Linked DNA regions of Bombyx mori. The protein of the gene in region 3 interacts with the protein of the main gene of each other region in a pairwise test. Links are inferred from orthologs where the notes say so. Each region holds a gene or a part of one and is shown on either strand. Other genes may lie near its edges. The genes, in order: histone deacetylase HDAC1, histone deacetylase complex subunit SAP18 and histone-lysine N-methyltransferase E(z).

What was found.
Region 1: the proteins of histone-lysine N-methyltransferase E(z) (region 3) and histone deacetylase HDAC1 interact in binary tests that used the Drosophila melanogaster proteins (3 or more experiments, as listed by UniProt). The link is inferred for Bombyx mori from reciprocal best matches to the Drosophila melanogaster genes E(z) and HDAC1.
Region 2: the proteins of histone-lysine N-methyltransferase E(z) (region 3) and histone deacetylase complex subunit SAP18 interact in binary tests that used the Drosophila melanogaster proteins (3 or more experiments, as listed by UniProt). The link is inferred for Bombyx mori from reciprocal best matches to the Drosophila melanogaster genes E(z) and Bin1.

Annotation. Positions count from the first base shown.
Region 1 is NC_085117.1:13,607,570-13,611,309, forward strand, and holds part of histone deacetylase HDAC1, read right to left. Parts: coding exon 3,724-3,740; intron 3,355-3,723; coding exon 3,178-3,354; intron 2,989-3,177; coding exon 2,886-2,988; intron 2,705-2,885; coding exon 2,470-2,704; intron 2,087-2,469; coding exon 1,997-2,086; intron 904-1,996; coding exon 759-903; intron 1-758. UniProt on the Drosophila melanogaster protein: Catalyzes the deacetylation of lysine residues on the N-terminal part of the core histones (H2A, H2B, H3 and H4).
Region 2 is NC_085129.1:7,373,237-7,376,363, forward strand, and holds histone deacetylase complex subunit SAP18, read right to left. Parts: upstream 1,666-3,127; 5' UTR 1,418-1,665; coding exon 1,343-1,417; intron 1,008-1,342; coding exon 603-1,007; 3' UTR 572-602; downstream 1-571. UniProt on the Drosophila melanogaster protein: Involved in the tethering of the SIN3 complex to core histone proteins. Interacts with bicoid (bcd) to repress transcription of bicoid target genes in the anterior tip of the embryo; a process known as retraction.
Region 3 is NC_085117.1:20,094,587-20,098,805, forward strand, and holds the start of histone-lysine N-methyltransferase E(z), read right to left. Parts: upstream 2,801-4,219; 5' UTR 2,004-2,800; coding exon 1,929-2,003; intron 1,857-1,928; coding exon 1,673-1,856; intron 348-1,672; coding exon 132-347; intron 1-131. UniProt on the Drosophila melanogaster protein: Polycomb group (PcG) protein. Catalytic subunit of the Esc/E(z) complex, which methylates 'Lys-9' and 'Lys-27' of histone H3, leading to transcriptional repression of the affected target gene.

The DNA.
Region 1 (3,740 bases), about 6.5 Mb from region 3:
AGTTCTAAAATCTCAGTATAGTTATAACGACTACCCCACCCTTCAAACCGAAACGCATTGCTGCTTCACGGTAGAAATAGGCGGAGTGGAACCTACCCATTAGGACTCACAAGAGGTCCCTACCACCAGTAATGTTAAGTACATATCTCATTAGACAAATTAATTGGTACATGTTAGGGCAGTTTGAACACCAGCACAGACTCATCGCTCGATACCAGTACTTCTTGTCCTTTAGGTCACGAAGACTTAAAATATATCTTTAAAGCATTATAAATCATTTGTTTATTTCAATGGCGTAGCCGCTATACGATCTCGGGAACCACCTGGTGTTCAACTATTAATAAACTTTCTGTTACGACGATCACAATGCGAGCAATATTTCTTATTTCACGAGAGCATTGAAAATAACGGCTATCTTATTCGATTTGATGTGTGTACGATGATGTTTTAAGTCAGCGGTCGGGGAACCGGGGCAAATTACCCCAAATAGGGTAAAATTAAATTTTGGAGGGTAAAAATGAAACTTTTGTGAGTAAAAAGTATATATTGAAGTGAATCTTCTTTAGAAACGTTAAATTTTTAGTTATTGTTTTCTTTTTAAAATTATCATGGGGGCTATAATATGAAAGATACTAAAAAGAAGCGATTACTTTCTTTTTGTTCTTCGCCATGGGGTAATATTAACTTACACAAAAATATTTTGGGGTAATAATAAAAAAGTTTCCCCGATCGCTGTTTTACGTGATGTGTGTACGTACGTTTAAGATCGTCCTTGATCTGCAAGGGTTCCTTGTCGAGTCGCGGACGCTTGCGCTGCGGCGCGCGGTAGGCTCGGTTGTCGCGTCGCCCGTCGCCCTCGTCCTCGGAGTCCGACAGCTCGCCGTCGTTAGCGATGCGCTTGTCCTGTTTTGCGTATCACATTCAAATCTTGTTACTACAAAATCTTGCTTGGTCGCAATGTCGCACACCACTTAGAGCAGACTGTAGAAATATCTTACAGTAAATTGGGGGGAATAGAGACTAAAGTTCGAATAGGGACAAATCTGGGATGTCACAATACTTTTGTTGAGTTGAGTTAGATTTAACTTTGTTGAACTGAAAATTACTTTTATTTAGTTTTTTTAGAATATTAAATAGTTTAATTTAGTCATCATAGTTTTTTAACTCATTAAAGATATTAAAAATTAATTACCTAAAGTTAGGTACCTACCTAACAGCTTAATAGTGCCAGCCCTATCGAAAAACTGTATTGTCCCCATACGTAATATGATTCACCCCAAAGCCAAGGTGAATGGGGTCAAGCTAGTTTTTTCAGATTTTGTGTATATTTTGTTATGAACTATGTATAATAACTCATCACAAATTTAAGCCTCCGGAACCATTTTAATCTCAATTTTATTGGTATTAACCCTAAGAAAAACCATTGAAAACTTGTGCTGGATTTGGAAAGGGTCCCGATTCCCCCAATCTACGGTACTGTTACAAATGCAGCACGCGGCAACGAGATCTATCTCTTAACCACGAAAAGCACTCACAAATAGTGGAAACAAAAATAACGAAAACATATTGTATCGTGCGAGGAACGTTTAGTGAATTGTAAAGCTCATTCGAACTCGATACTGATATTGGATTTAAGAACCGAATTGAAACCAACGAAAATAAATACAGTAAAAAGTTACAAGGGATTCAAAGGGAATTTTGCAAAATAATATTAATGAAAAAGAGTGAATACTTGTGCATATTAGATACTAGTGAGTTTGGAATAACATTCTGCAAATTTTTTTGAGATTTTAACTATCTGTAATTTTGATATTTAACTGAATAAATGTGTTATGGGTTTATTCTTGTTCAATATTTTATCCTCAAAGCCATGTATAACAAAACTAATTAGTTCACCCAAATAAATAATTAATATTTTTACTAAATATTTAAACGCATATTTAAAATTGGGCTTACTGGAAAACACTGTGTGATTAAATCCACTTTTAAATCATACCTTATCACTCTGTGGTAATCTCTCATCTTTGTCTATTTTATCTTCATCATCTGACTCATCATTGACAGCATCTTCAGGTATGGCTTGCACCTAGAGGAATAAAGAATTTTAGTGATGTTTTAAAAAGTAAACAACGTAAAAAAATATGCCTACAAAAAAAATTACAAAATACAAAACTACTTTATTTTCAAAAGCGAGTTAAAATAATACAATGATTGGGGTCTCCTTTTAAGCGTGCAAGCCTGTACTAAGAGACCCCGCTTACGAATCTTGCTTATTATTTGATTGATTATTATTATTGGACAAGAAAAACTTAGGTAACAACTGAAAAAGTACTAGAGAGATAGATGTATCTATTCCGAACATCCTACCACATGGCGTTTGCAGCAGCGGCGAAATATCGGAAACACGTTAAAACTAACAATCGTAATCAGAACTTTATCTAGTCATGTAGTAATTTGGAAAACACTTACTTGTACTCCTGGCGCATGTGGGAGCATTCTGAGATTCTCGAACAGTCTATTTTTTATCTTTTCCAGATATTCGGGTGTGTTTTGATTGGACATGTTACTTGGTGATATGTGTAGTTTGAAATCGGGCCCAAAGTACTCAAAGTAGTCATTATATGGTAGTTCATTGGCTATTTCCACACCAAGTGCAACAGATGTCTCGTAAGTCCAACAGCGAGATACATTACGTATGGTATATCTGTGAAATTTATTACACATGAAGCAATGAAAAGATGGTTAAAGAAAATAGTCTAGTTGTTGTGAAAAAATTAAGAGATTACATTATTTTGACCTAGTAATTTAAATATCTTAAGTAGTAAAGATAATGATTCAGTTTCTATCTAAAAGTGAAACATAGTCTTATATTTAAAACAACTTACCCGCCTCCGCCGACTAGTAAGAATGGAAGTCCAAACCTCTTGACAAGTTCTACACAGCGTCCATGACCTCGAACAGTCAAGTTGAAACAACCCAATCTGTCACCTTGTATAATAAAAATAGGTATTTTAGTTACAGTAATTAACTAAATTTTTATTATTTAGTTATTAATTGGTATGAGTGATTTTACGACATTCAGAATCAATTCAATTTCATAAAAAATTAGATTAAGCAAATAGCTTGGACAAATAAAAAGTGACACAAGAGTTATAAAGTTAGAGTTATTATAGTTACCTGTCAGAGAATCAGCACCACACTGTAGTACTACAGCACTTGGTTGGAATGTCTCCATAACTTTAGATATAATGGGAACAAAGATAGACTCATATGACTCATCATCCATTCCATCACGAAGGGGTATATTTACAGCATAGTATTTGCCTTTACCAGCACCAATGTCCCGCAAATCACCTGTAATATTATGATAATCAATTATTGCCATATATAAAATCTTTATAGGAAAACCCCAAGATGAGATGAGATATCTTCGAGATAATTTAATTTTTTTCTCCCAGTAGCAGTTTTTAAATGAGTCATATTACTCTTTTGTTAGATCAGAAAAATGTACAATCATTGTAAAATTGTGTACACACCTTTTAGATGTAGAGTGTACAGTCAGCGCTGTATGTACAAGGTAACAAATGCAGTGCTGCAATTACTTATCTTTCTCAGTTTCATGTGATAAAAAGGTACAAATATCTTTGTGCTAATCATTCAATATTACTCAAATAAACTTTAATGTTTTGAACAAGTTTAAATAGAAATAAGTAATGTAATCACCTGTTCCAGGAAAATAT
Region 2 (3,127 bases), on a different chromosome or scaffold from region 3:
ACGACTTTGGCTCAGGAGTTAAAGATCACAGCTACATTCGATTATGGATACCGATCAATAATGTTTCATACTACGACTAAGACATAGTGTGAATTGTGGTTTTAAACTGAACGAGACTCATAACCGTGGATATGCCCTCCTGCGCTATTTTTAGATGATTTATTAATTGTGTATGAAGATGAAGAAAACATAGATATTTAGAAAAACATGTGTTTTTTATACCCTAATAACTACAATTGGATAAAATTACATTAGGAACATCTCCCTTATCATAATTAATAAATTAAACATTAATAAAAGAAAAGTTCTTGAAGTAACTCATAATCCAACACTTATTTATATAGAAAATAAACCTCAAAACGATTTTTTTATTTTATTTTATTTTTATAATAGTGGTGTCAATTTCAATATATTTTTTAGATATCCAATATATTTAAGAAACAGTCCATTTTTATAGTAATATTTGATGTCCATCTTGGGCCCAGAACACTATGGAGAGTGGGTGTTCCCCTTTATAATAGTAATTTAATGAAATCCAACTTCACCCTTTAAATCAAGTGAAAGAACACAGTTGATACACATTCTTTTATTAAACTTAATTATCAGTACTGACGATTATTAATATATGGTTGTGGACGCCTCATTGGTGGTGGCATTCTGTTTGGGGGTGTTATTGAGATGTCTAGATAGTTCCCAATTTGAAATTTCAGTTGTGAAAGTGTCTTGTTATCATCGCCTCCTCTCTGTCCGGAACATGTAACTCCTATTTCCCTCATACGATATGTAGGGGAACGCATATCAGGATACACAATGGCAAAATCAAAGTATGTGCCTTTCCGTCTCGTCTCAGGATTAACTTCTTTTACAAGTCCTGTAAGTTCTCGCAGTGTAGCATCCATCCATGTATATATTTGTAATTCATTCTGAGGTACGTTTCCTCTAACATAGTCTCCAGGAGAATTATGTCGGCCAGTTGAACAAAACACACGGAGCAATAGAGGACAGGTCTGAAACATTTTAGGTTAAATTTATATCTCTATATAATCAGGAAAAAGCATAACAAATTTCCTCCTCTGTCAATTCAATTATTGTGTTTTATTTATAATCCTAATGAACGAGCTTTAGTGTTATCGAAAACAAATAGATTGTTACTTTATATCTCACATTTACAAGAAAAAATGTCAATTACGAAACAAAAAAGAACAGAGTGCTTTAGTAGACACAACGGATTTGAATGTTCTGTTGATTATTATGGTCAAATTAAAATCAGTTGGCGAACATTAATTTAAAGTAAATGCTGTTTATAGTAAAAAATAATCAATTATATTGTTTAACAAAGTACCTTTTCTCTGTCCACCGGTTTTTCTGTCGGTTTAATTTCTTCAACTACCATTGATTCTAATCCCGCCATTTTCATAATATTTGGAGAATTGTGGTCCTACTTAATTTTTCCAACTTAAGTAATTATTTAAATTATGCGAGTCTTTAAATACATGTACCGGTAAAATGGGGCGATTAGGGATTGAGAGGCGAATCGGGAAAAAACTGGGAAAATCTTTCGACGCTCAATATAAGTTTTATATTCGTTGCAAAATCTTCCATTTTTTGTAGTTTAATAGTAGAATGTTGAAAGTTCACAAAACAACTCTGAATATGCATGATAATAGCTGCTAACTTATAAAAAATCGCGTTTCAAATTAACTTCCTGTGGTGGTAATTATTTTAGTGCTAGAAACTTTGCTCTCTTTTATTTATTTGATAATAATAGAAAACGACTATGATTTATAAACGTTATTTAGTGTTTGAACCAGCATATATATTAAAGGTAAGTCTCAGTTGTTATTGGTTTTAATGTATTTGATTAAATAAAAATACATGTAAAAATCTGTTGTTTTGGGGATATTGGGGACGGCTTAGGTACAAATAACAACGAAAAAGGGGTCAATTGGGATGAGAATACGTGAAATGGAAACGAACTAAGTATAAATAGGTACAGGTTTGTAGGGTTGTCTATGTAGTTATAACAATATTTTTTAAATTTGTTGGTAAAAATCTGGTTTATTCGAAGCGAAATTGGGAATAAGTCTTTATTTGAAATAGATAAGCAATTTAATATAAGTAAGTCAATTTTGGAGAGACATGTAACAAGATCAATGAAATCTCAAGGTGGACAAAAATGTCTAAGTAATACATAATAAAATATTTAATATTTGTTCAGAGTGGGGGTATTCATCTGATTAATCCATGGAATAACCGACACACCTAATCTCTTAACCCAGATAGAAATATCAGCACTGTCGATTGCACCTATAATTGAGGTGATGTCTGCCATGTACTTTTGTCAGTTTTTCAATTTTTTTTATTGATGATCACTTTGTTGGTGCAACTAAATAAATAAATAAATTAAAACTATATATAAAAATAAAAGTAGTGCCAACCCTAGCAAATTTCTCATTTCGTCCCAATTAACCGCAATTTTCGGGTAAATAGGGATTACACCTATTTTTGCATTTTTTGCTTAAACTGGAATGCTAGTTCCATAATTTTAAATTAGACAACAAAGATGCCCCCAAGACTCAATCATTTTGATCCTGATATAGCATTATATACATCAACAACTACCTTAAAATTGATCATAAAGTTGGAATTTGTCCCTAATCGCCCCATTTTACGGTACCTTTAAACAATTTCTGATGATAAATGATTTTTTTTTTGAAGGGCTTTTATGACCTGGTAACTAAGACCTTTAGGTCAAGTATTATTTTAATTTTAATGATACGTAACTTTTTTAAATGAAAATGATATTATGAAATAAAATGAAGTTGATTATAATGAAACCTAAAGTGAAATGAAAACGAAATGAAATGACATGAGATGAGATGATATGGGATGAAGCATAATCTCAGTAAAATGGTGGTCATTTACTGAGACTTTTTCAGTGGACTTTTTGGAAGATCCCGAGAAGTTACGTTCAGTGGCTTTGTTTTATTTTCCCAAATTTGTGCACTTTCACAGATACTAAACAGTTAATAAACCACCGCTATTACACATTTAAATCTGAAGAAACACTAACTAGACAAAATAAAACAAATCACACAACTTCACTCCTCGCGTTCCCGCCAAAAGT
Region 3 (4,219 bases):
CTAAAGAGAATATTATTAAGGTTTGTTTTTCAAGGAAGACATCTTTTTCACTATTTGTAAGAAACAAAGATCATTTTTCAACAAAACTGGCCCAGTCCACATTTATAGTAATGACATGAAAGCCGATGTACCATGCACTTTCCCGTCGTAGTTCTTTATTAGCTCCTCGATGAATGTACCATCCTGATCCAGGACCTCGTCTCCCATGTATGGAATGTTGTGCAGAACAGTCTCATCTTCTACCATAAAATTTTTCTGTGTTGGAGCCCATGTATACATCGTCGGAATTGGATTCACAGAGTTGATTATTCTTATTGGTACCTGTTGGGTTGTCACTACACCTGAACCTGCAAAATATTTTAATTCAGTAAGTAGTAGGAAGTCCTCTAAACTGTTTTGCTCTCAATATGAAAAACTAAGTCTATGTCTTTCATGAAAAAAAAACCGAAAAGGAACACCATATGGAATCAGCAGTTCAGAAGGGTTGAGTATTTTGGGTTGTACGTCAAAGTAAATGGGAATTAGAAACTTTTTTGTTATTAAGTTTAGTTCATTAGAGAAAAATGTTTTGAGTGCATAGAATAGTTAATTTTGTTGCTGATAACACTGCAACAAAATTTTGCAATTCTTAAAAAACTACTTAGCAACTCTGGAACTTTTTTGTTTTTTATATGGTGTACATTACTGCGATAAGGCTAAAACATTATGTTTACAGTACAGGACAGTGGAACATATTTAGCAGTTCAACACTCTATTGGCCTGTTGTGGTTGAGCTTGCCACTAAATCAAGACAGGGCTAGTCACACACACATTTTATTGAAACTCAAAAATGCAAAGAGGTTAGGAGTTTAATTAATCCCAGTGACAGAAACTGTTAAAAGCTAATAGCCTCTAACCAATTTATGGGCTATTGGTTGATAAGTGCTGACAGAAAATGTGATTAATAAGACAGCAGTTGATAAGAATTGATAATAGAAAAGTCAATTAATAGGCTTGCAGTCGATATAGTCTATCTTAATTGATGTAGACAAGACTTGTAGGCAATGGCGGATCCAGAGGGGGGGGGGGGTCATGGGGGTCATGACCACCCCATGAGCTGGTTCCAGGACTTAGGTGGACCACTAATTGAATATAATGATTTTTTTTATATATATTTTGTCACCATACAGATTTTATGTAACTACATACCTTCAATATTTAATTAATTTAATATAATATAATAACTTTGTATAATGGCAAACGTTTGGGAACGAACGCATCTAAATTTGACTATGTGACCCCCTCCTGGCGCCAAAGCTGTATCCGCCCTTGCTTGTAGGTAAGGTAAGATACAAATGATATTATTTTTTCAAATTATGGGTTGCAATTGCTTGTGGGACTTTTAAATTATTTTCCTTCTGAAATTGGATTACGGAGTTGTGGTGCCCACCCTAAAATTTCAGAAATGCAAAACAATTTTAACAGCTAAGAGGATCACTGTTTCTTTGGTGGCTACAGGAAACCACGACGCGATGAAGCTACCCACCATAAAACAAAATACAGCGAGGATCCAATCATTAAAACCGGAACACACGACTGCTTCGCATCATGAGGTAGCATGGTGGTACCCACTTGCGCGGATTTGCATTTAATGAACACTACATGGTTAAGTAAGGGCAAAGTTAAGATTTACCGTCTGTATAGGTAACTTCGGCCCTCTTCATAAGGCTCTCATGGCTCGATGTAGGCGCCGGCGGGGGCCAGAAGGGCCGTTTAGTACGATCCGTAGTTTCCGCCTCAGGCATCTCTATAGCTTCGGACATTATTTGCAAATTGCGCGCCCATGCTACTTTCACTTCATCAGCGCGTTTGAAACGCTAAAAAAATTTACATTACATTCATATCCAGATTCATATATCGTAAACTTCAATATTGTCATTCTGAGTTACCTTTACTTGTCGAAGCCGCATGTACTCTGACTTAACTCTCTTCTTCCATTCAGCTGATACTTTCGATTTACTCATTTTCAAAATATTTTAATTCGGCTATTCACATTTTACAAACTTACACCTTAGAGCTATACCCATCAGTGTTGCCGCTGGGCCAACATTGGGTTGCCGTACTGGAGAAAAAAATCTACCGTATTTAAACAAAAATTGCCGTACAAAGTAATTCAAAGTTTATTATTATTTATTTCTAGGATGAAATTAAAATAATACATATTTTTCACTCCTCTCTTCTCATCAAATCTGTATTATTGCCTAAAGTAAGTTCAGTTTCAATAATCTGATCTTTTCCGTAATTTGATGGGTTTTTTTTCATTTATTGATCATTTCGGGGGTTGGCTTAAAGCTCGTACAGTACTATTTGCTAATATTGTTCCATTTATGGTAGATGTTAAGAGGCGGTTTCTTTGTTTTGTTTTGATTAGATTTACTGCACTGAAGATTCTTTTTATACACATTTTATACATTAACTCATGTATCACTACACTGCACTTTTTCAAATGTCAAAATGAAGCTACACTTGCTAGTACAAACAATGACACAAGAGCGAGGCGGCGAGGCGACTTGAGGAGACGACTCGAAGAGCAGGCGTTGTAGGTTGTAGGGAATTCCCCGTACCAAACATAAAACATTGTCTATTACAAGAGTTGGATGCGCTTATGTTTACGCAAAAAGTATTCACGTTCTGTAATCACTTTAGATACATTAATTGTTTTTTTAGCTTTATGCTCTTGTTGCCGTATTTTAGAATACGGCAATGACCACTCTGCCGTATGCCGTACAATTTGTCTTTTAGAAGCATGATTGCCGTACGAAACGGCAATTGCCGTACATTTGGCAACGCTGATACCCATAGACATATTTATTTTTTTGCGATTTTATGACCTGGTATTTAAAACCTTTAGGTCAAACCCATTGGCCATAGATAACATAAATATACACTTGCTTAGGCTTCGATCAACACTATTTTTGATCGAAGTGTTTAGGTAATTCATTTATTTAGAATCTTTTGTAATGGCTTTTTTTAAGATACTATGGCCTGGTAACCGAGATCGTTAAGCGAATACTTATATTTTATTCATAGGTTAAAAAAATTTGCAACAACATGATTATTATGAGACTTTAATTAAATGGGATTGAATGAAATCCAACGAAATAAGATGTGATAAAATTCGTTCGCAATAAAATGGTAGTTATTTACTGTAACTTATTCAATAGGTTTTTCGGTAGGCAGCGGCTTGGCTCTGCCCCTGGCATTGCTGAAGTCCATGGGCGACGGTAACCACTCACCATCAGGTGGGCCGTATGCCCGACTGCCTACAAAGGCAATAAAAAAAAAAAATACTTTTTGGAAGAATCTGAGAAACTACGATCAGTGCCTTTGTTTAATTTTTGTATATTTTTGCACTTTTACAGATACTGAACAGTTTTAAGCGTGAAGATACACTAAGTTAACAAAATAAAGCAATTCACACCACTTCAATCCCCCCCTTTCCTACTAAAACCACAGACGAATTTTGATCGAAGATACGGTGAATGTCCCTGTATGAACCAATTCCGAGAAGTAGTTGGTGGGGACAAAGAGTTAACATGCTGTGCCGCTCCAATTTAGCTATCTTTCTTTTATTTTTATTTTTCGGATGCTTGTAGTTGTTGTTGTATCAAATTAGCATTACTATAATTACATCTTACACGTACGTCTTAATCAGTTGCGGACGTAAAGTGTTTTTTTTTTAAATAAATAAAAGCTAATAACACGTTTCTTTTAGCCAAATAAAATATTATTTTAGTAGAGGGGAAGAAGCCGATCGAAGAAGACATGGATGGAGTGTGTGAATGACAATACGAGAGTGAAAGGAGTAAGTGTTGAGCTGACGGCTGATAGAAGAGAATGGAAGAGAAAAATTAGCTGTGCCGACCCTACTTAGTGGGATAAGGTGAAGAAAAAGAAGAAGAAGAAGAAGAAATAAAATATTATTTTACTTTAGTCTTCATTTTACTTTCAAACATTATGTTTTGTTCTCGACAATAAGTACGTGTTATATATAATTCATACTTTAAATATCCCGTCATAATCTGTTATTGGATTTTCTTAATACCAGAAGGCCACTGAGTATCTCGCCACCGGTCTTTTTAGTGGTTTGCGAATTCGATCTGGTGGTAGATTCAGCGAAACACAGCTCCTGCTAGGGCAAATATTAGCAAAATTTTCTCAAGCTGAGCCCCATGAGCTC